Linked DNA regions of Pelodiscus sinensis. The protein of the gene in region 1 interacts with the protein of each later gene in a biochemical or structural test. Links are inferred from orthologs where the notes say so. Each region holds a gene or a part of one and is shown in the gene's direction. Other genes may lie near its edges.

Region 1 (6,935 bases):
CCCAGCTGCAAGCTGCCTCCTAATTAGGACTCTATTTTCTACTCTGGCTGCTAGGCTGTGTTCAGGTGAGGCTAATTTGGAAACAAAAAAGCATTAACCCACCTCCCTATATGGCTGCCTTCTCTAAGAGTTTTGCAGTTTGCAGGCTGTGGTCTGTCACAATTAGGCAAATCAAAAGTGCAAATGAAGCAGGGATTTAAATATCCTGCACTTTATTTGCATAATAACGTCACAGCATTTTTTCGAAAAAGGTATTTCGAAAGTGAAACCGCAGTCTAGATGCGGTTCTTTCGAAAAAAAACCCTCTTTTTCGAAAGATCCTGTACACCTTAAAAAATGAGGGGTATGGGAACTTTCGAAAAAGGGTTTTTTTAAAGAACTGCGTCAAGACTGAGGTTTCACTTTTGAAATACCCTTTTTCGAAAGAACACTGTGACGCTATTATGCAAATGAAGTGCAGGATATTTAAATCCCTGCTTCATTTGCACTTTTGATCTGCCTAGTTTACGTCCCTCTTTCGACAGAGGGATGTAGTTTAGACATACCCCCTGTGACATACACAAACTGTTTATGTTTCTAGGCATCTGGGAACCTTGTTGAAACCCCATACCGGGAAATATTCCTACTCCCATTCAAGTCAGCAAGAATTTTCCTATTGTCTTCAAATTGAAGCAGAATCAGTCCCATAACCCACTTTCCATTAGCGACTAAGATCTGATTTCTGTGTTTTGCTGAAGTGTCATTCTGGGTGTAAAACATCTCGGTAAGACTACACTGTTTTCTAATACTTGGGTTTATTTTTTGTCAAGTAGTTATAAGTAGGAAATCCCCTCTATTTACAGTTGTATTGATTTGTCTGAGTGTTGCCTCTCCACTTGATAACTTTTACTAATTCATGTGGTTTTACTCTCTATGATTTTATCTTGTTTATTCTTTGTTCCCCGGCATTTAGGTTCCACTGAAGTCAAAACAAATTGTATTGTGATTTATACACATCAAATTTCAGAGTCTGTTTTCAGTCTTGGAATGAAAAAAAATTGAGTAAAATAGATTAAGTAATGTGGTTTGCTGGAGAGCTCTTGGCTTTGCTGTACTGCATTTGACATGTTTTGTTAGGGTTCTCTTTCATGTTTATGTTGTAGATGCCTTGCAATAAGCACCTTCTGCATGGATTAAATAAATAAACAACAAGACAATTGTATCTTGTGATTGGGCATCTGCCTTGCAATGGCCCTGACTGACCAGATGGATGGGCCAGTAAAGGATCATGGACATGTCAAGAGAGAGCTCCCCTGCTCAATGTGTGGGTGAAGGATGAAAAATGAGAAGACCCATGAAAAGATGCAGGGGAATCCAGAGACACAAGAGATTGTGGCCAAGTCCCTGGATAACAAGGAAATGGGGCTAAGGGATCATCTCTGAAAAATCATGGAAGACAGGAGAGATTCCAGAAGACTGGAAAGGGGAAAATCTAGTGCCCATCTATAAAAAGGGAAATAAGAACAACCCAGGAAACTACAGACCAGTCAGTTTAACTTCTGTGCCAGGAAAGATAATGGAGCAAGTAATTAAGGAATTAATCTGCAAACACCTGGAAGATAATACGGTGATAGGTAACAGCCAGCATGGATTTGTAAAGAACAAATCATGTCAAACCAATCTGATATCTTTCTTTGATAGGATAAGAGTCTTGTGGATAAGGGAGAAGCAGTGGACGTGGTATACCTAGACTTTAGTAGGGCATTTGATGGGGTCTCGCATGATATTCTTATCAATAAACTAGGCAAATACAACTTAGATGGGGCTACTGTAAGGTGGGTGCACAACTGGCTGTATAACCATTCTCAGAGAGTAGTTATTTACGGTTCACAACCCTGCTTGAAGGGCATAACAAGTGGGGTTCTGCAGGGGCCAGTTTTGGGACCAGTTCTGTTCAATATCTTCATCAACGATTTAGATATTGGCATAGAGAATACGCTTATTAAGTTTGCAGATGATACGAAGCTGAGAGGGGTTGCAACTGCTTTGGAGGATAAGGTCGTAATTCAAAATGATCTGGAAAAACTGGAGAAATGGTCTGAGGTAAATAGGATGAAGTTTAATAAGGACAAATGCAAAGTGCTTTACTTAGAAAGGAACAATCAGTCTCACTCATACAGAATAGGATGCGACTGTCTTGGAAGGAGTACTGTAGAAAAGGATCTAGGGGTCATAGTGGACCAGAAGCTAAATATGAGTCAACAGTGTGACGCTGTTCCAAAAAATGCAAACATGATTCTGGGATGCATTAATAGGAGTGTTGTGAGCTCTACTCTGCGCTGAGTAGGCCTTAATTGGCGTATTGTCCAGTTCTGGGCACCACATTTCAAGAAAGATGTGGAGAAATTGGAGAAGATCCCGAGAAGAGCAACAAGAATGATTAAAGGTCTAGAGAACATGACCTATGAAGGAAGACTGAAAGAATTGGGCTTGTTTAGTTTGGAAAGGAGAAGACTGAGAGGAGACATGATAGCGGTGTTCAGGAATGTAAAAGGGTGTCACAAGGAGGGGGTAGAAAAATTGTTTTTCTTGGCCTCTGAGGATAGAACAAGAAGCAATGGGCTTAAACTGCAGCAAGGTTGGTTTATGTTGGACATTAGGAAAAACTTTCTAACTGTCAGCGTGGTTAAATACTGGAATAAGTTGACTAGGGAGGTTGTAGAATCTCCATCTCTGGAGATACTTAAGAGCGGTTTAGATAGACATCTATCCGGGATGGTCTGGTGCTGGGTCCTCCCATGAGGGCAAGGGTCTGGATTCGATGACCTCTTGAAGTCCCTTCTAGTGCTAGTGTTCTATAATTCTATGATCTCCAGGAACAGGTGCAAGAGCTTCACGGGAAACTAGCAACCATGGAGGAGGCCCTGCACCTACCAGAGAGGAGCTTGGAGTGCAAGAGAACTCACATCAAATGTGACCAAGAGGTGAGAGAGAACATCTGTTTCCTCTTGAAAGTAGTAGAGAAAAAGAGGAACCAAGAGATGCTGGGTCAGAAACAGTAAAATCCCAGAGGGCTGTAGGCTTAAGGGGGAGTGTGTGTGGTGGGGCATCTGTCCTGCACAGTCCTGTAGGTGTTAAAGCCAACTTAGGGAGACTCAGTAGCCGACAGTCACAACTGAGGCTGCAGATAATTAGGCTAAGTGGTAGGCTACAAATTAGGGCACAGCTAGCTCTGATAAAAGGGAAGCCACAGACCAGGGGTGGGTGTCTGATGCAGAGGACCCGAGGGGAAGGCAGGCTTCCTAGATGGCTGCACAGTTAGCACAAGGCTGCACAGCTAGCCTTGCGATGTCTGGCAGGCTTGAGGCCTGGAGAAGAGAAAATTTGGGGAGGGGCAGTGAAAGGAATCAACTAAAGAGTCCCTGGATTGGGACCCAGCGTAGCAAGTAAGCCTGCCCATCCCCCTTTTCTCTCCCCATCACTCGCCAGTGATGAAAGTGGCCAGGATAGACTGCCGTTTGTCTCTGGAGTCTAAGCTGAGTCCTGCAATGGGCCCCTGAGGCGAGTGACAAGATAGTGGGTTGCTGATCTCCCAGGACTGGAGAGGGACAATAGTACTGGAGCTCAGGCAGAGGGCTGTGCTCCAACGTAGACAATGCAGCTCGGGACCGACACAGATCCAGACAGGGAGCGGACAAGAAGTAGCTGTGGCGAGGCACTGCGTTGGGAGGTCAATAGAGCTAACTCCCAGCATGGCCAGCAGGAGGCGCCATGGTGGTGAGTTGAACCCTGTGACGTATCCTGGAAACTCTTCACTGAAGTGCTGAAGTGTAAGGTGACCTGTGGAGCGATTAGCAGATGTGTAGTTAGAGCAGAGGTGGGGATGACAATTTCCACATGCCATTCATAGATAGAGAGCTTGTTTTCAGTATTCCGCCTATTGGAGGATGCCACTATTGTTCTTGACATTGCTGACCGTGACCTGTTGCTGGTTCTCTCAGAGCAATCCCCTGCCTCTCCAACAACCCCAGATAAGTGCTATGATGTATTGCTAGATGGACAGGATTTGCAGTGCTTCACAGTCCTGTTGATACAAAATGCCTTTAAGATCCTGCCTTTCCCATCCTAATCTACAAAGGAAACAGGAAAAAGGAACTTAAACTCCCTGTACTCAGACAGCAATGAGACTGTTATAGCCCACTCCAGCACTGCAATTTCTTGCTTCTGTAAACAAGAGTTCTCATATCATGCAAGCGAAGAGTAACCAAGGTCTGCTCCATTAAAAGGATACTCCTAACCCCATGAGCTGCTGTGGAAACTGGATGGATATATTTTGGAAAGCATGGACTCTTTAGCACATTTAATTCTCTGTGGATTCAGCCTGATAATTTCAGGTAAGACTTTGTTTTAGTTACTGAGCTAGTGCTGCGATATGCCATGGCTTTACTGTTTTTTGCACAATGAACAGACAAAAAGCCTGATCCTTACTGGTATAATTTTCACATTGACTTCAGTGGGATTATTTGCATAAATAAGGATCTCTCCTGTTGGTGAGGGTAGCACAGTTATGCCCTGATTCTCTGTAAGAGGACGGCTGACTGTGTTTGGGATATGTAGCTAAATCATTTTAAATCTAGCTGCTCTTTGTTTATACTTACAATCACCACGGTGTGGATTTCTCTGCTGAACCAGTTAACTTTTTCTCTGAGCCTGTGATATGGAAATGATCACCATATGTTTTTTGCAAAATCTGTTGTAAATGTTGATTCTTACAGTCCACTTCATAAATATAGAGCTGAAATACTGGTAAAAATCTGATGTGTTCTATCTAGTATTTATTTTTAGCAAGACTCTTACAGCTGCTGAATCTAGACACTAATTACTGGACACTGATGCTTGAATAATATGCATTAAATGCAATGGATTGGCTCATTTCAAACACTATTTAAAAACACATCTGTCTCAACAATGTTATTACCAGACATAATTTGATTGTCTAAATAGTGCTAACTGTATGTATTTCCCATAGCTGGTAAGCATAAACTTCTTATGATTTTACTAATGCAAAGTTTATTTCACAGCAAGAAAAGCCTAGAAGTCAGAGATGCGTTTCTCAAATAAGATATGCTTCCTCTTTCTTCTGAGTATTAGCTTCTTTCCATGCAGTTTTCTCTCAGCATTGAAGCTCACACTGCTAGTGTCTCTCTCTGACCTGTTTCTAGGCAATCTCCTCAATGTAAGATACAAAACATAAACCTAGAGATGGTTTCAAACCAGAACCCCAGATTTTTACTAATCTCTGAAAGTTTAGCTCCAGATCTAATTTTTCTGGCTCCGGGCTATCTCTACATGAAAAGCAATGTGTTTGATAGCTGCAGGCTGTGACAGTGAGAGACAGAAGGAATTAACAAAAGAAAATGTAATTTTTTATTGCTGTATAACTTGTGAAGCCTAAAGATCAGGAGATTGTAGAACAACAATGTTCAAAAGTAAGAAGAATGGCCAACAAAAGGGTTTGGAGTTTTGAGAGTTTTTTAAGTATCTGGAAAGGTATGTGGCAATATGTAGGCCAAAAAGTTTACATAAAATGTGGTGGTGGTGTGCATATTGTTGTATAATTATTGCCGCATTAGATTGCATATTCTATATTCCTCTTGTGCTAGGGGTTGCCTGTTTGATGTAGAGGTATAGCACTGCATCCTATTTAATTCTCAGTTCAATACTGATTTTTCACGTAAGAGGCAGATAGGCTGTGCCCTGAGTGTTATATTCAGAAGATGAAAAATAGGGCTTCATAACTGAATGGGACAATACTACATCCCTCTCTGAGTTAAATCTCCTCTGGGTCTCCCTTCCTTGAAGCCAACTCCTCATGTATACACATGATTGTTACAGGAAGCAAGTAAAATCCATGAAGTCATGTGCATGAGTGAAAAACAAAAGCGATCGGCACAGATTAGCAATAAACATGGACAGTGTGCTCACTTCAGTTTGGTATTGAAGAGTTGCCAGTCACAGCCCTTTCCACAGGGCTTGACCAGTTAGGTGTGTATTGTAGTCACACCCATCTCAATAGATCTGTCAGCTTTCCCGCTTTTGTTCAAGTGTGATATCATGTTTCCTGGGGCGAGCTGTGGAAGACAATGCTAACCCCCTTTCCTCTAGATAGAACAGGCGGAGTTCAGGAAAGCAGTATTGACATTCCCTGAGCAGGGGAGACATTAAAGTCAATGCAATTGGCAGACTATGAACTGACTTAACCTTGTCCCAAATGGTAGTGGGCCTTTGTGTGCGTGCTGCTGGGTAGGCAAAAATCTACTCCACCCTTGTTCCAAGGTGGGGACTATGCATTTAGGCTTGGCTCCTGGCTACATTAAATGCCCTGTAATTTCCTTTCCTTCATCATGACCCTCAGCCAAAAGACTTGATTTCCAAACAAGTTATTAAAGTAAGATATAATGTATGCCTCTCTCCAACAATGCACAATCCAAAGTGTATCTCAATTATACTTGCAAGAGGGACAAGTTTAATGCTAGGGATAGACCTGACAAAACCAATAATGTGAACACACTTTCCTTCTTCAGAGTTTTTCCTTCTACACTTTGGGCACTACGTAGCCCTTAGGGATGTAAGCGACTAGTCGACTCGACTAGTTGTTCTCCACCCCTGCTGCCTCTATGGAGAGAGGCAGCGGGGGGAGGGGGCGCAGGAGCTGGTGCTGGTGCTGGGGGGGAACCAGTAAAGCTGGTTCTCTGCAGGAGGCAGGGGAGGCAGAGGCACAGTGGGAAACGGTGCAAGTGGGGACTGCTTCAGGCCTGCTCGCGCTGGTTCCCACTACAGGCGCTTCTGCTTTTGAAATGTACAAGAGCCCTGCAGGGAGCATGGGGGGAGCAGGGACTCAAGGAGTCCCCACTCATCCCGTGCTCTCTGTGCTGCCCCTCCCCCCACTGCCTCTG
Region 2 (7,762 bases), on another chromosome or scaffold:
ACCAGTGGGGAACAAGTCCTGGGAGTAGTTTCTGGAATAAGTAAATTATTCAGCAGTTACTGTGCTGTTGGTCAGCACTAAAAAGGCTACAATTTACTCCAGCAACTTTTATGTTTGTGTATTGCACACATAGTTCAGTTGCAGATGCAAATCAATACTTGCATTTCTTGCTTCCTGACTGTGAGCACAAATTGGATTGTTGGAAGCACAGGCAATGAGATTTGTACCCACTAATCATTTTCTGGGCACCAGAAGTTCAGCCCTGTATATGTATCCCTATGTAACATCCATCATTAATAACACCAACATCAGGTTGTTTTTGTTATAGGCACCCAAAAAAGAATTGCAGAAAAGTGGGATCACCACTATTTTTCCTGTAGGTAGTCATTAAGAACCAGGAAATCTGTTCCAGTTGTTTACAAACAGTTCATGACCCAGATAAACACCCACAATTCTTGTTGATGGGAATGGCAGTTGCATGCAATAAAAGGCCTTGTGCATGGAAAGAATTGTGAGTCCAATGGGCATAAATGTTGGTTTAAAAGCCTCTATTAAACAAGAAGTTAAGGGTTTATTTTGGTAGTTTTTCCTGTGTAATGAATAAGAATCAAGTGAACTGAATTTGTCTAATTGACTTTCTCTGACCATGGGTAAAAAGTATGAGTTGTGAGGAAGGTAAGATTTACTCATTTTTTTTCATGCATTCCACAGCATGAAATGAAGTTTTCAGGAAATAGGGGCACAACATTCTTAACCACTGCTCATTTGGGATCTGTCCGATAACGTAATAAAGCCATAGAGAGCCCCAACAAGCCTCATCATTTGTGTTTGAGAAACAGAATCCAATTGGTCTACAGAAAATGTTTTCACCAGACCAAACGAGAATAACCGGTAGCTCGGTTGTTTCTGCAGCAGACCATTGCGTCCTTTTAAAGACCTGCTGCTTTTTTACCACTATGTCAATCTTCCCTGCTGCTTGGTTGCTCCCAAGTGTGAGATCAGATGCTGTAAAAGCTGCAGAGGGAAATAGAATGACTCTGTACATTAGAGTGTTCCTTTGACAGAATGACCTGGTGGAGTATACTGCATAAGATTCATGGCTTGAATATACAAATGTAAATATATACACTTCACTCCTGAAGACTCATTTAGTTGAAACCACCAACAACTTACCCCCAGGAGATTAACAACCAAAACATTCAAGCAATAGGAGAAAGTGTTTAAAATGGTAAATAATTCTTCTCCATTGGCTAACTGAATTTGTGTCCTTGATAATCAGATACTGGAAAAAGTGTCTGCAATTCTACCTCATATATTATGGGTGTATATCGGGAACACTGAAGTCAGTGGAGTAACACACATACAAAGCCGGTGTCAATGAAATCAAAATCCAGACCTCATTTCAGTAACTCTATCCTGAAATTCCTGGTATATATTTTAATTGAGATTAAGTGCTCTGTTGAGAAAGTAAGGTATCAATAGAACAGTGTAAAATTCCATTGATTCTGCTGGAGGTAAAAAATCCTGGACTTGCTATCTAGGTCCTGACAGATACTTTCTATACATTTTCTGTTGCGATGATGTAGAGAAAGTTATGCAGGAGCAATCCAGTTATATTGTATGATGTGTTGTAACTTAATCTAGGTTAATTGCAGCAACAACACACATTGCAATAGATATGTAAAGAAACTTCATTGATTTTGTTCATTAAGTATATTTAAAGTCTGTGAATAAATATTCTACGACAAAAAACATCCAATTACATATGTGTGTATTCTTCAAGATAAATGGGAACTAAGGTTATGTGAGTGTAACTTTGATCTGGACAAAATCCTCATCCATTTTGTGTATTAGGTTGGATTACATGGTCAACTGCTGAATTTCAAGTTACAACTAAATAAAAAAAGCAGGCTGAAGACTTCTTGGGCCATCTCTACACTGTCCCAGGATTTTGTTATAGCGAAAGTACAAGGGGGTGAAGGACACAGTCATTGAGGAAGTGCTCTTGGGAATGCATTTGAATGTGGAAAGTAAATTCACACCTGGGTTCTGTTCTGTCAGTGCTCTGCCAGTGACTTCCTTGTAAATTAGGACAAGTCACTTTGGGTATGTCTACACTACCCCGCTAGTTCGAACTAGCGGGGTAATGTAGGCATACCGCGCTTGCAAATGAAGCCCGGGATTTGAATTTCCCGGGCTTCATTTGCATAAGCCGGCCGGCGCCATTATTAAATGCCGGCTTGTTCGAACCCCGTGCCACGCGGCTACACGCCGCACGGGCTAGATAGTTCGAACTAGCAAGCCATTCCGAACTATCTGTACGCCTCGTTCCAAGCCGAACAAGCCGGCATTTAAAAATGGCGCCAGCCGGCTTATGCAAATGAAGCCCGGGAAATTCAAATCCTGGGCTTCATTTGCAAGTGCGGTATGCCTACATTACCCCGCTAGTTCGAACTAGGGTGGTAGTGTAGACATACCCTTAGTCTTTATCTGCCTCTGAATCTGTAAAACAGGGATCATTTGTACTTACCCAGAACTGAGTAAGTGATTGTGAATAAATTACTTACTCAATTAAGTTCCTTTTTTTCATCATGGAATCTCAGCTGGAAGATGGAGAATTCCTTCAAATGTATTTATTAGTCACTATTACTCAATACGTGGTTTTTTTGTGGGTGGGAAGGGAACTGCCTTTTCCTTTCAGGAATAAAATCACAAACAGTTGACTGACAGAATTAAATCCTTGATATTCAAAATTTGAGCCATGTTGGTTAATTGGAGTTGGTCACATAAGTCACAAGATATTATTATTTGATGATTGGATGAATATACTCTTGTAATGAGGAGGAGAACTTGAAGATAGTAGTGGTCCTTTGAACTTCTCAGAGAATGATAGCAGTATAAAGAGATAGGAATAGTGAACTTTAGAAAATGTTAGTCTTTTCTTGTATGGCCTTATGCAAGGCATCATATCTAGAAAAAAAATATAGTAAATGTATATTTGTATTATATGTGTGCATATGTGGCCACAGTTGTATTCATAAGGGCTATGAGCAGATCCTGAACTTTCTGGTTCATTTCCTCTGTGCCAGGTCCCTGCCAAGGGAATTGACAATCTCAGGAGCAAGTTCATTGCAGGCACTGGTGCAGTTTAGAGAAGGGAGGTTGCTTGTGCTTCCCCTGTCGGAGCCAGTTCAGAGAAGTAAGTCTGAGAATATTGGAACAGTATGAAAAGTGCTTGTAGTATAATGGGTTCTATTAAGTTAATTTTAAAAATAGGTATAGAAGCAAGGAAAAGAAAATAAGAAAGGTGAAGTAAGGGCTGACTAGTTCTAAGAACGGAGGGAAGTTTTTATTCTTCCAAAGTGAATTATTCTTTTCTTTTCTTAGTCCCATTTCATCTCTCTCTCTCTCTCTCTCAGATCAAGAACATGTTACCTTGCTCTGAAAGTTTCCTTGTGTTCTCTTTCTCAGAAGAAAATAGATTTCCTTGTAGTTTAAATACATTGGCTCCTTTTCAGGCTAATGATGAAAGGTCAGGCTGAACTGAACAAAAAAGACTAAGTCTTTAACTCTGACTGGCAGTAGCTTCTTCAGGAACAGCAAAGAATTCTGGTTCACAACCCCTGCAACTTTGTTGAATCAAAGTGGAATTTCTATAGAAATGCTTATGATACCCACACAAGCACCAAAGGTGGAATCTAGGCAGCCTTTACTGATGCAAATAGTTTTTTTGCTGTCTTGTTGCTACCAATAACAATATTGATGTTAAAGACCTCCTTACATCAGTTTGCTGTAAAGTGGGTTCCAGAGGAGTTAACTCTGATTTATATGCAATGTACTAGAGATGTAATGGGAATCTGGATTCAAACTCACATGAAATTTAGGAACTTTTAGATTGTTTCAAAATTTTGTTTCCTGGACCCATCTTCAAAGACATTATTAATGCTTAAAATATTATTCTAAATAGGTCCCTGAGTGCTTTTTTGAAGGAGGTTATTATTAGGAAATACTGCCTAGATCACAGTAGTGAAGACCTGGAAAGGACCTCAATAAGTCATCTACTCCAGTCCTCTGCACTCAAGAAAGGACTATTACATATGCATAATAATATACAAAATAATAAAACATATAATGAGGAATGCTAATTTAATTAATGCAAACTTTCAGATTCATAGAAACATTTTACATGAACACACACAATAGCAAATAGGGTATATTCTGTCTAGCACATCTGACTATGATTTTTTCAAATTAGACATATTATTCTTTTAACTGAACATATAGAAATGCCACTCTTCTGCATAGCTCTTTCTAAATATTATTTGGCAGTTTTGATTTCATCATGCCTTGTGCAGAGAATCTCTGTAAACACTGCTCAAAATGTCATTGTAAAAAAAAAGAAGCATGGGAAATGTTAATATTTTCCATAAGTGTCAGTTTTCTGTCTTAGCATTCAAAAGACAATCAAATAGCTAATACTGAACATTTTTTATTTTCAGGACTCTGCATATTTACTTATAAGGGATTACAACAAATTTCTACACTTTATCTACATATTAATAAGTCAGTGTGAACATAGGAAGTATATTAAGGTGGACTGCCCCATTTAATAAACATATGTGAATTTGTCCGGAGCAGTTCTGTGCAACAGGAACAGAACAACTAGTCAAGACTGAAGTAATGCATCGAGCCAGTTTGTAAGATGATCCCTCTGTACTGAGCCATCAGCCATCCTTAGCATAGGGGCGCACTCATACACACATTCCTATCAAGTCATCTTGTGAAAGGCAGCCTGCTTCCAGCTTGGCTTGAAAGTGCAACCTTAATAAAACTCTCTGAGGTCTGAGAGAAAATAGCAGTCCTGCAGCAGATAGTGTAGGGGAGAGAGACTGGGATATGCATATGCAGCTAACTAAGGAAGGCTACATGCTGGACTGTAACAGAGAGGAAACCATAAATCTTAGCTACTATGCAATAAATATTTCTAAATTTAACTAAGGAAGCTATAATTACTGTGAAATAAAAACCATTTTAGCCCAAGCTGAGATTTAAATACTCTTCTCCAATCCTCTTTCCAAAGATTTTTTTCTATAAAATAAAGACACATTAAAAGACAGAGGAGGTAAAAGTTTCTATAAGAGCAGGAAAGAAAAGTAGTAATAACATGACAATTTTCCTTTCTTTTGCTTTCCTGGCTGCTCTTCTGGCTCACATAGGGTGCAGTAATCAGCGCCGGGGTCCAGAAACCACTGGGAGAAGATACAGCCGGATTCAGCATGGGCAGTGCACCTATACTTTCATTCTTCCAGAACAAGACGGGAACTGTCGTGAAAGCACGACAGACCAATACAACACAAATGCTCTTCAGAGAGATGCTCCTCACGTGGAACAGGATTTCTCTTCTCAGAAACTGCAACATCTGGAACATGTGATGGAAAATTACACACAGTGGCTGCAAAAAGTAAGTATTGCGCTTTCAAATTCTGCTTTAACTGATTATTTATCATGTTTTCCTGTGCTGTTCACAGTTTGCATGTGCTTCTTTGAGACCTGAGATAATGTGGATTTGTCTATTTCCATGTGAGAAATATTACAGCTAGTGCTCACCACTTCCTCCTGGGCTTACTTTGTTTTGGGGAGCAAAACTTTCTTAACATTGCTGGAAGATGTCTTTTTTAAAGCTTGATCTTAGGGGACCATATTTTGAGAGCCAGAGTGTATAATAATCCTTCAGAGACTTCTAATGATGGCACGCTTTTCATTAAGTATTCTTATAACATCTATTTATAGTTCTGGACGACAGATCAGATGTCAAGAAGGATACCTGGTATACACAGCAACTATGCATTTTTAACAAAATAGTGACATGACTGCCTTAATGTGATTAATAATTTGAAAGCCATGTAATGAGAATTCCATTAATCTCCCCAAAACAGAGTCAGTTGTACAGCCATAGTCAGTTAATTCATAAAATGCAGAAATATACATGTTTTTAGAAATCACAGTATGACTTTTTTAAAAATGTATAGATTATATTAAACATGAAACAGCATGATTTTCATTGACATGTCTACATAAAGTAGATAGTATTGCAGGAATTTCAGGAGATTTTGGGGGAATATAAAAATAAATTCTTTTTAAATAATTTGTGCTAAAAGTGTAAACTTTCAGATTAACTTCTTGTATTTAAAATGTAATTTGGAGCTTTGATCCTGCCAAGACTTATGCAGGTGAATACCTTTACTTATCTGAGTAATCCCATTGTCTTCAGTGGGACTGCTCATGTGAGTAAAGCTACAAGTGGAAGTAAGCCACTGTCTTGGTAATGAGAATTGGCAGTGAGTTACGATCCTGCACAGCTGATCATTTCTATCAGAAACATATATTTTTATCTGTATCAGTGGACTCACAGATATTACTGCTGTCCCTGTAACTTCTTTAGTGTTACTTAGCCAGTAACACTAAAACCACTCAAACAATTGGTGAAATGTTTAATAAGCTAAGACTGCAATAACAAATTTTTCTGTCTTTTGTATTCCACAAGTTACATGTTTCAGATGTAATAAGAGTTGACATTTAGAACAAATATTGGATAAACAATAAAAGTCCATTTTAATGTAATTGTTGACAGCTGTATCATTTACAATTCCCATCCCTGTTAGCTACTACAGAAAAGATTTAACACCTTTTGTTTTACAGTTCTGTCGTTAGTGTCCTTATTTCCTTGTCAATTTATCTGCAGTTACTCTATGTTTGCTGCTAATGGTATGAGGATGATTAAGTGCAGTAAACACATGTGTAAAAGAAAACATACATAGTGAGATAAGCTCAGTCCTGTAGCTTTCACTTTTTATTTCAGTCCTTATTTAAACTGTATGAAGTACTTTAGAAAGACAAAAGATTAGAACTGGAGGCTTGTCTCTTTGGAGGGTGTAACATTTCTTATTCAGTTATCACTGTACTTTTCAAAGCAAACTCTATGGAAAGTAAAAATGTTATCTGTGTTCCTGCGCTCATGGTTTTACTTGAACAACTGCCTGCTGAATCATGCTTATGAGATTGTTACTTATTTCTGCATTTGTCCACTAGGGACTGAACTAAGATCACTGTTTCACTTGGGAATTGGACAAGAAGAAAAATGAGTCTCTCGAGTTCTGAGTCTGAATTAGAGCTAGTATTCACATTTTAGGGGGAGAAGATGGATAAACAGGTAGCTAGTCAGTGTAAATGTTACCTCTGAGGTCTGTGCACTTTGTCAATGATCAAAACTTGCCTGCAGGTGAAACCTTCCCACGGGTTACATGAAACTGGCATGCAGCAGTGAGAACTTATCTGCATGAGTCCGTTTTTCACTAGAATAAAAGGTTCAGTTTCTCAGTGTGGAGGCAAATGAATCTGACCTGGTTACATTATTACGACCCTGAATACTGAATTTGCTGCTGTCATTGCAGCCCATATCAGCAATAGCCATCTCCCTTTCAAAACAAGGAAAATATTTAACCTCCACCCCCAATTTCTATCCCCTCAAATTATTTTTTCCTGAATTTGTAATGTAAGATGTATTTAATATACTGTTTGTTCACTTTCTAATGCACCTGCTGTGAAGATTGGAAATTAGAAATATTAGTTGTTTTATTGCTATGACCCAAATCATTCCATTACAATCATTCTGTGCACAGGTCCTCCACATGGTAATATAAATCATCTATCTATCTATCTATCTATCTATCTATCTATCTATCTATCTATCTATCTATCTATC
Region 3 (6,987 bases), on another chromosome or scaffold:
GAGTAAGTCTGCCTGGCCCAGATGTTGAGACGCCAAAAGTCCTTACTGATATACCTGAGGGGAATCTCCAACTCACTTCATCACCAGACACACGTATTGGACAGTAAAGGGAAGTCTCACTGTGCAGGAGCTCTAGACTAATTCTCCACAAACAAAATATTAGTTAGCAGTGCATCTACCCACAGATCTCTAAAGAGATTGTTGTAGACTAGCTCACTACTTTCACGTGGGTTCCAGCCAGCATCCCTGGGGACAGATGTGTGTACTCACCACATCAATCTTGCTGAACTCATGAATGCCAGTGCAGCAACTAGGTGCCACTCATTCAACCGAAATGCTAAATTGGTTAATCTTCCCAACATTCAAACCACCAAATTTCTTTCCTGTGGAGGTTCAAGCTTTATCAAGCATTATTAGCCAGGATCCTCCCACCAGGGCTCTGGGAGGGACGCCTCCCTCTCTGGATCAGTGGGCATCCATTCTGCCTCACCACAGTCCTCCACTGCAATCTTACTCTTAGCCTATCTATCCTCAAACAGGTTCTCATAGTTATTCCTATCGTTCGCAACACAGAAGCAAGTGCAACCCTCAAGAGCCAGGGCTCAAGTGTGAGTTTCTCAGGGCACCCATGACTGATGCATCTGGTTACTCCCTTGACTTCAGTAAGAGAGAAGTTCCTGAGTGTTTAACTGTCAGTGCCCTAACATCCCCAGCTTATTAGCCACTGAATCACTCTCAGCTTGGCTGTGGCACCCTTTACTTAACCTTGAAAGTTTAAAAAAAAAGTGTAATACCAGGCCCTGAGCTCAGTTTGAATCATTCCCTTGTTGTATCTGCTGAACACTCAGAAATACCAGGTCTGCTGTCCCCAAGGGATCAGTGTGCACACCGACTTAAATCCTTCAAGTCAGCACCAGCAGCACCTTTCCTAATATCACAGCTCAGAGATATTTAAGGTGAAATCAAGGAGGTTCATGACAGAAGAGACTATCACTAAGGATAACAGAAAAATAAAGATTACCATATAAAACAAACTTGTAGTACATTTTCTAAAGACTAAACTTAACAGGCTAATTTCTAAAGAAGTTCATCTCACCAAAGCCTTTTATAGCATCTTCCACCAAGGCTTGTTGTGATCCTATTTTCATGAATGTAAATGCACTGCCTATTTACTTTCTACATTCAGGATCAGTGGGGTGCCCTCTTTGCTTTATACTTACATCCCAAAAGCTCAGTTTTTACTGAGACATAATATAACCCCATTGCTTGTTTTTCCTGTTGACTTTACACATCTCTGCTGACTTTTTGATGGTTTGTTTATATAATTTATGAGAAAGAGGTGAATAAACATTTTTTGTCTGACAAAAGCTCTCACTTTTGCCATAATACAGAATTTAAAATGTATTTTCAATATATATCCATGGCTCCAACATAGTATCTGTACATACATTTCATAACATTAATGACCAATATGATGCTGGCTTTCAGTTAAGACTTCACATGACATTCTTCTAACCTTCTTGCCCATTGGTCATTAGGGGTTGCTGGATCACATCCAATCCCTTTGATCCCTTCTCAAAAACCCAGATGAATTTAAGTATAACAATGTTCTGAGTGATTTAGTCAACCAGTATGCAGAAGGATGAATGCATGATCCTTAGTAAATCAGAAATGCTATCTCATGTAAGATTTTTTTCAAATCAAGAGCTACCCTTTTCCCCCAGGAAAGGGTTCTTGGTTCTTCTCTGTTTGACATCTTCTCAAAGTCCCTGTCTTCTTTACATAAAGGCGCCAGTGCAACTCAACCAACCAAAAAGAAATCCTTTAGGAGATCATACCGGTAAATGTTGCCCTCCACTTCACTGTCAAATTGAAGTATGAAAATACACTAAGGTCACACCAAAAAGTCAAAGAAAAGTAAGATGAATCTTCCAAGTATTCCTCATTAAGAAAATGGAAACTTTCAGCATTGGAGGAAGTTACAGAAAAGAAGAACCTCATGAGAAGTATTTTCCTCCTCAGTATTTTCAAACTAACTTATCAAGGGCCTTAAATGCTTTGGGACATACTTTCGGGGGAAAAGCCAATCTGACAACATCTAAGAAAAAAATGTCAAGTAAAAATCCCTCAAAAATGTAAAACAAAATCTGAATCTAACTTAATCACACTTTAATAATGCTAATAGCCTAATAATGTCTAGCCAGACAAAATCAGATTTAAGATTTTTTTTAAAAAGCTAAGAACAAACATGATTGTTCAGACACCTTGCCACAAGTAATCTCATTAATTGAGAGAAACTGTTATACAAACAGTAGAATATTTTTGAAAAAGAGAAACTTCTATTCAAAGAAGTTTTGTGGCTGTATTGACAAGCTTTTAGCGCATCTGTCACATTCATTAATTTTGGTAACAATATCGAGTTGTACATATAATCTATGAATTCTCCCTATTTAGCAAAAACAAATGTTTCACTGATAGTTATATTTTACTGCAAATATCCCTCATCATCATGTCTTCAGACAAATTCAGATAAATAAATATACTGGAATTCAAAGCATAGTCAATGGAAAAAAAATACTTCCCAGGAAACAAATTTGACATATTTGTTTTCTCTCTCAGAGCAGAAACTTAAGTTAAGCACATTTTGTCCACGTTGGGGTTCTCCAGAAGTAAACACTTTGGATGATCTCCAGATAGGGCAATCACTAAAATATAAGTGGAGTAAGAAATCCCAACCATCCAATGATCAACAAAGTAGAGGTTCTAATTCCTATAACTGGCTTTCACAATCTTTATGTAGTTTCCATATCATGGAAAGTAAAACCATGTTAATAGAAAGATATATAGGGAAATCTGTAAGGATGCTTCTTATGGTATAACTAACTGTGCTTGTCAGATGTATAAATAGGGGCCTTTGATCCCTGAGGCATATTATTTTGGAACCTTCTTTAGCACCACGTTTACTTAAAAATAAAAAATAATATTTAAGTAGAGAAGTCCAGTTTCTGTGTCCAGATGCAGGGAATTTCTCTTCAAGATTCAGTCCCCCCAGCATTATGGTTTCCATAGCATATTTTCTAGAGCAGAGATGTATTTTTCCAAGATATTATTGGAATCCAACTCCTTCCTGATCTTTTTTAACTGATTATTATAAATATGGCTTCATGACATTTTTCTTCACCTTCCATCATTTCTATTGACCTCTACTAGAGACATGATATTGGACCAGTATGATACCTCTCCCCTCATGTCATGTACTGAGGAATTCCTACAACTACTCTGAAAAGTTATTCCCTTTTTCCTAGCTGACTTTTGATTTAATATTTAAAAAACGAATATAATTTAAATTAGCCAGTTAATATAAATGACTAACATTTAAAAACTGCTTTCAAGTTTTGTTGTTCATATTTACATGATTTACATAAAAGTCTACTTTAATTGCAGTAGAATATATTTACACATAATCTGTTCACAGTTGAAGGTTCAATACTTAAAAAAGAGCATTATTTCTTTCTGAAAGGGTAGACTGAAGCCTGCTTTTGTCTGATTAGAAGTATCCTCCTCTTCATTTATACAAACTATTAAACATAGGCCAAGCTATGCTGGTCAGACACATTTCAAAAGAATTTTTCTTTAAGAGGAACAAACAAAGGACCTTTTGTGGGCATACTTTAAAATGATTACAACAAATAATTTACAAGGTTGTACTGGAAGCATAGGTGGAGGCTTGCAGAACTGATTTCTCTGTCTAGGAAATTCTTAATTAGAGTTGTGCTAAAGAAATTCATAGGGGTCCTATAAGTGATCAGGTTTTGAACAGATTTAGTGCCGCATACCATGCAGCATTCAGAAGTGTGCTCTGATCTTTGTTCTGCCTTGCAAGCGACCCCCTCTACAGGAAGATAACGGATAAGCCAGGAGGGAGGAGCAGTTTAGCTACACATGTCTGGCTACTCTTATCAACTTATCATATAAGGAAAGGAAAGTGATTGATTCAGATACCAAAGCTGTAAAATCTTGCCAAAAGACAAGCAGAAGAAAACATTAAAGCTTATTTTAAAAACCAACATAGAACTTGCAGCTGAGACAGGACTGTTTCTGACAGTGAGGGCACAGCTGGAGAGAAGACAGCACTTTTTTACCAACTTTGCAACTAGAAAAGTAAAAAATGCCCTCATTCAGAGTACTTTACATGGCAGTAAAGCACTGAATTTCAGAGCAGATAACTAGATATTCTGAACTCTTGTTAAGAATACTGAAAATACAGTACTTAAGATTTGCAGAGTTATCGTAGCAATTAAAATGTGGCTGGCTGTTTACTTTATTTTGAGCTGTAATCTTGTTTCAGCTTCAGGGTACAGCTCTTTTCGTAAAAGCATGGAGACTATAGGCAAGAAGCAGTACCAGGTTCAGCATGGGTCGTGCAGTTATACCTTTCTATTGCCTGAGATGGACAACTGCCGCTCTTCTTCCAGCTCCTATGTATCTAATGCAGTGCAGAGAGATGCACCACTAGATTATGATGATTCTGTACAAAGACTCCAACTACTTGAAAACAGCATGGAAAACAACACTCAGCGGCTAATGAAGGTAAGACTGATTTCTATTGTAAAATACAGGGTCTGACATAAAATGTTTATGTATTTTTTACTAATGCTTCTTTTTCTACTTCTGTAAATCTCTAATTTCACAAAATTGTCAAACTATGTATTTCCCAAGCTAAATTTGAGAATGAAGTGGTCCAATCAAAAGCTCATGTTGAAGTTAGGGATACAATAAGTAGAAAAGAAGTGAGAGCTATATTATTCTGCAGAACAAATATGCTGTTTAACTTGCAACTCAGCTTTAATGACAATAGTTACTAGCAGTTTTATGTACTGGCTGCAGGCATTTATGTGAAAAATCATACATGTAGCAATGAGTAATAGGAAAAACTTTAGAAACAACTGACAGTGGATAGCTTGTCTCTATTTAAAAGGGTATACAGTTTATTTACATGGAATACATTTTCAGCATATTCTACAGAGATAAATTTAAGTATGTGACTCAAGATTCTGTGTCTAAATCTGCAAATACTGCTTTCAGCATCTCCAGAGACTGATGTGTACTGAAATTAAGCCAGGGAAATGACAGTTTCAGGAAAGCTCCACATAATTAAAATCATTTGTATTCTGTAACTCTTCCACTTAAATAGTGAGTTTATAAATGAAAAAGTCGAAACAAAGCTAGTGCAGAAATCTCTCTGTCCTCATAACTGCTACAGAACAACCTGTTATAATTGAGGGAATGCATATGTATATATGCACACAGAGAGGTACACACAAAATACCTGAAAGGAGGCAATATTCTACGTGAATAGCAGATTAGAAATTAAATTATTCACTCAAACATTTTTAATGTTAATAGAGAATACAAATACATTCAATGCCACATGAACAAGTTTCAATTTTACCGAAACTAATTCAGACTTTCCCAAAATATTAACCAGTATATTAAATTTTGATTTAAGCTTGAGTTACACAATTTTAATCTATGTTCAAGAAACAGTTTAGTTGCATGGTATAGCTCTTATCCTAAATCTATTTCACACTATTATGCCTGTATTTTAAGCAAAAAGAATGCTTTAACCTATCAACTTAATTACAATACTTACTGAAAACATTTACCCTCACATGCTTCAATGACAACATAAAAATGGTGCTGATTTGCAAACTGAAGTACAAAGTGTCAACTTCTTTGTTTATTCCAACATTTATAATGAATTATCATTATGGAATAATATTTGTGTTAGGACTCACTTCCTCCCAGCAGGTACACAGATAACCAGGATTATGTACCCTGTGAAATCAGCTAAGAGTGCATGTTTAACACACAGAAGCATTTTTTCAAAATATAAAGCAATGCGTACCTTCATATATGAAAGCTAGCCTTAGACTCAGTTCATAATTTGGAAACTTGGAAGATTTTACACAGACCCTTATGCCACAAGCCTTCTTTTAGGGTTTTAGGATGATTAATTTTAGTCACACAAGTTTGCCAAATAGATCTTAAATGTCCAGTCCGTATTCACATTGTCCTGCATTTTGCTTCCGTATTCACTCTTTTGCTTTAACTTCCTGTTCGTTTCCCTTCATACACCTGTACATTCATCTCTCTTGATTTACCAATATTTTCCATTGCAGTGTTAGAGCAACACTAACAGATTTACAATGCAAGATGAAAATATACAAAATAAAACAATCTAATCCATCCACAAGTCATTTCCTAAAATGAATAATAAAAGCACACAGAAGCATTCTATGCTACATATAAATTATTGTAATATTGTGTTTTCTTAATAAAGTGACATCAGGTAAAGCAAAAACCTGTAAGATAATTCCCCCTCAATTAGTCAAACTTCTCTTTTTCCTGCCAACCTCTAGGAAATCCTTTACAAAATAATAGACAAACAAATCCAACAATGAGAATTCAAAAGGTCATTTTTTGGTTGTTTTTAAAGAGGACACACACATTTAAGTATTTCTCTGAGTTCTGCAAATGTTTCCATAGGTGCACACTGCCCATTTATAATGGTTTCTTTCTATGTTTAGCAGCTAACCATCTTATAGAATGACTTATTGTTTACCTTTTCATTGCTTTAACACCTGCTCATTTTGTTTTCTGTTATATCTACAAAGAGCACTTCAGAAAGCCAACTTCTGTTAAGGCTCATATTACTAGTCACACCTGGTTTAACTGGATGTGAAAAGCAAATAGTAAGCCTTAAAGTGCTTGACTTACCTTACTTGATTTCTTTTTATTCTGTCACCTAACATACTACATGCCACTACATTAATATTCCAATAAATATGATAGATTAGCCAAAATTAATGATCATTCAATTTGTATCTTAAATTGTTTTGAAAGGTTAATAGAACACTGACAGAAAATTGTTATTAAATGACTGCAACTTCTTCTTTCCTTAGTAGTTGCACTGAACATGGAAAA

What was found. The genes of interacting proteins can lie anywhere in the genome.
Region 2: the proteins of TEK (region 1) and ANGPT1 form a complex in vitro, tested with the Homo sapiens proteins (6 studies listed by BioGRID and IntAct, with this or other methods). The link is inferred for Pelodiscus sinensis from reciprocal best matches to the Homo sapiens genes TEK and ANGPT1.
Region 3: the proteins of TEK (region 1) and ANGPT2 form a complex in vitro, tested with the Homo sapiens proteins (7 studies listed by BioGRID and IntAct, with this or other methods). The link is inferred for Pelodiscus sinensis from reciprocal best matches to the Homo sapiens genes TEK and ANGPT2.

The regions. Positions count from the first base shown.
Region 1 is NC_134716.1:15,379,735-15,386,669, reverse strand, and holds the start of TEK (angiopoietin-1 receptor), read left to right. Parts: upstream 1-3,836; 5' UTR 3,837-4,321; coding exon 4,322-4,373; intron 4,374-6,935. UniProt on the Homo sapiens protein: Tyrosine-protein kinase that acts as a cell-surface receptor for ANGPT1, ANGPT2 and ANGPT4 and regulates angiogenesis, endothelial cell survival, proliferation, migration, adhesion and cell spreading, reorganization of the actin cytoskeleton, but also maintenance of vascular quiescence.
Region 2 is NC_134712.1:30,479,399-30,487,160, forward strand, and holds the start of ANGPT1 (angiopoietin-1), read left to right. Parts: upstream 1-4,762; 5' UTR 4,763-5,164; coding exon 5,165-5,461; intron 5,462-7,762. UniProt on the Homo sapiens protein: Binds and activates TEK/TIE2 receptor by inducing its dimerization and tyrosine phosphorylation.
Region 3 is NC_134713.1:41,345,243-41,352,229, reverse strand, and holds the start of ANGPT2 (angiopoietin-2), read left to right. Parts: upstream 1-3,987; 5' UTR 3,988-4,302; coding exon 4,303-4,590; intron 4,591-6,987. UniProt on the Homo sapiens protein: Binds to TEK/TIE2, competing for the ANGPT1 binding site, and modulating ANGPT1 signaling. Can induce tyrosine phosphorylation of TEK/TIE2 in the absence of ANGPT1.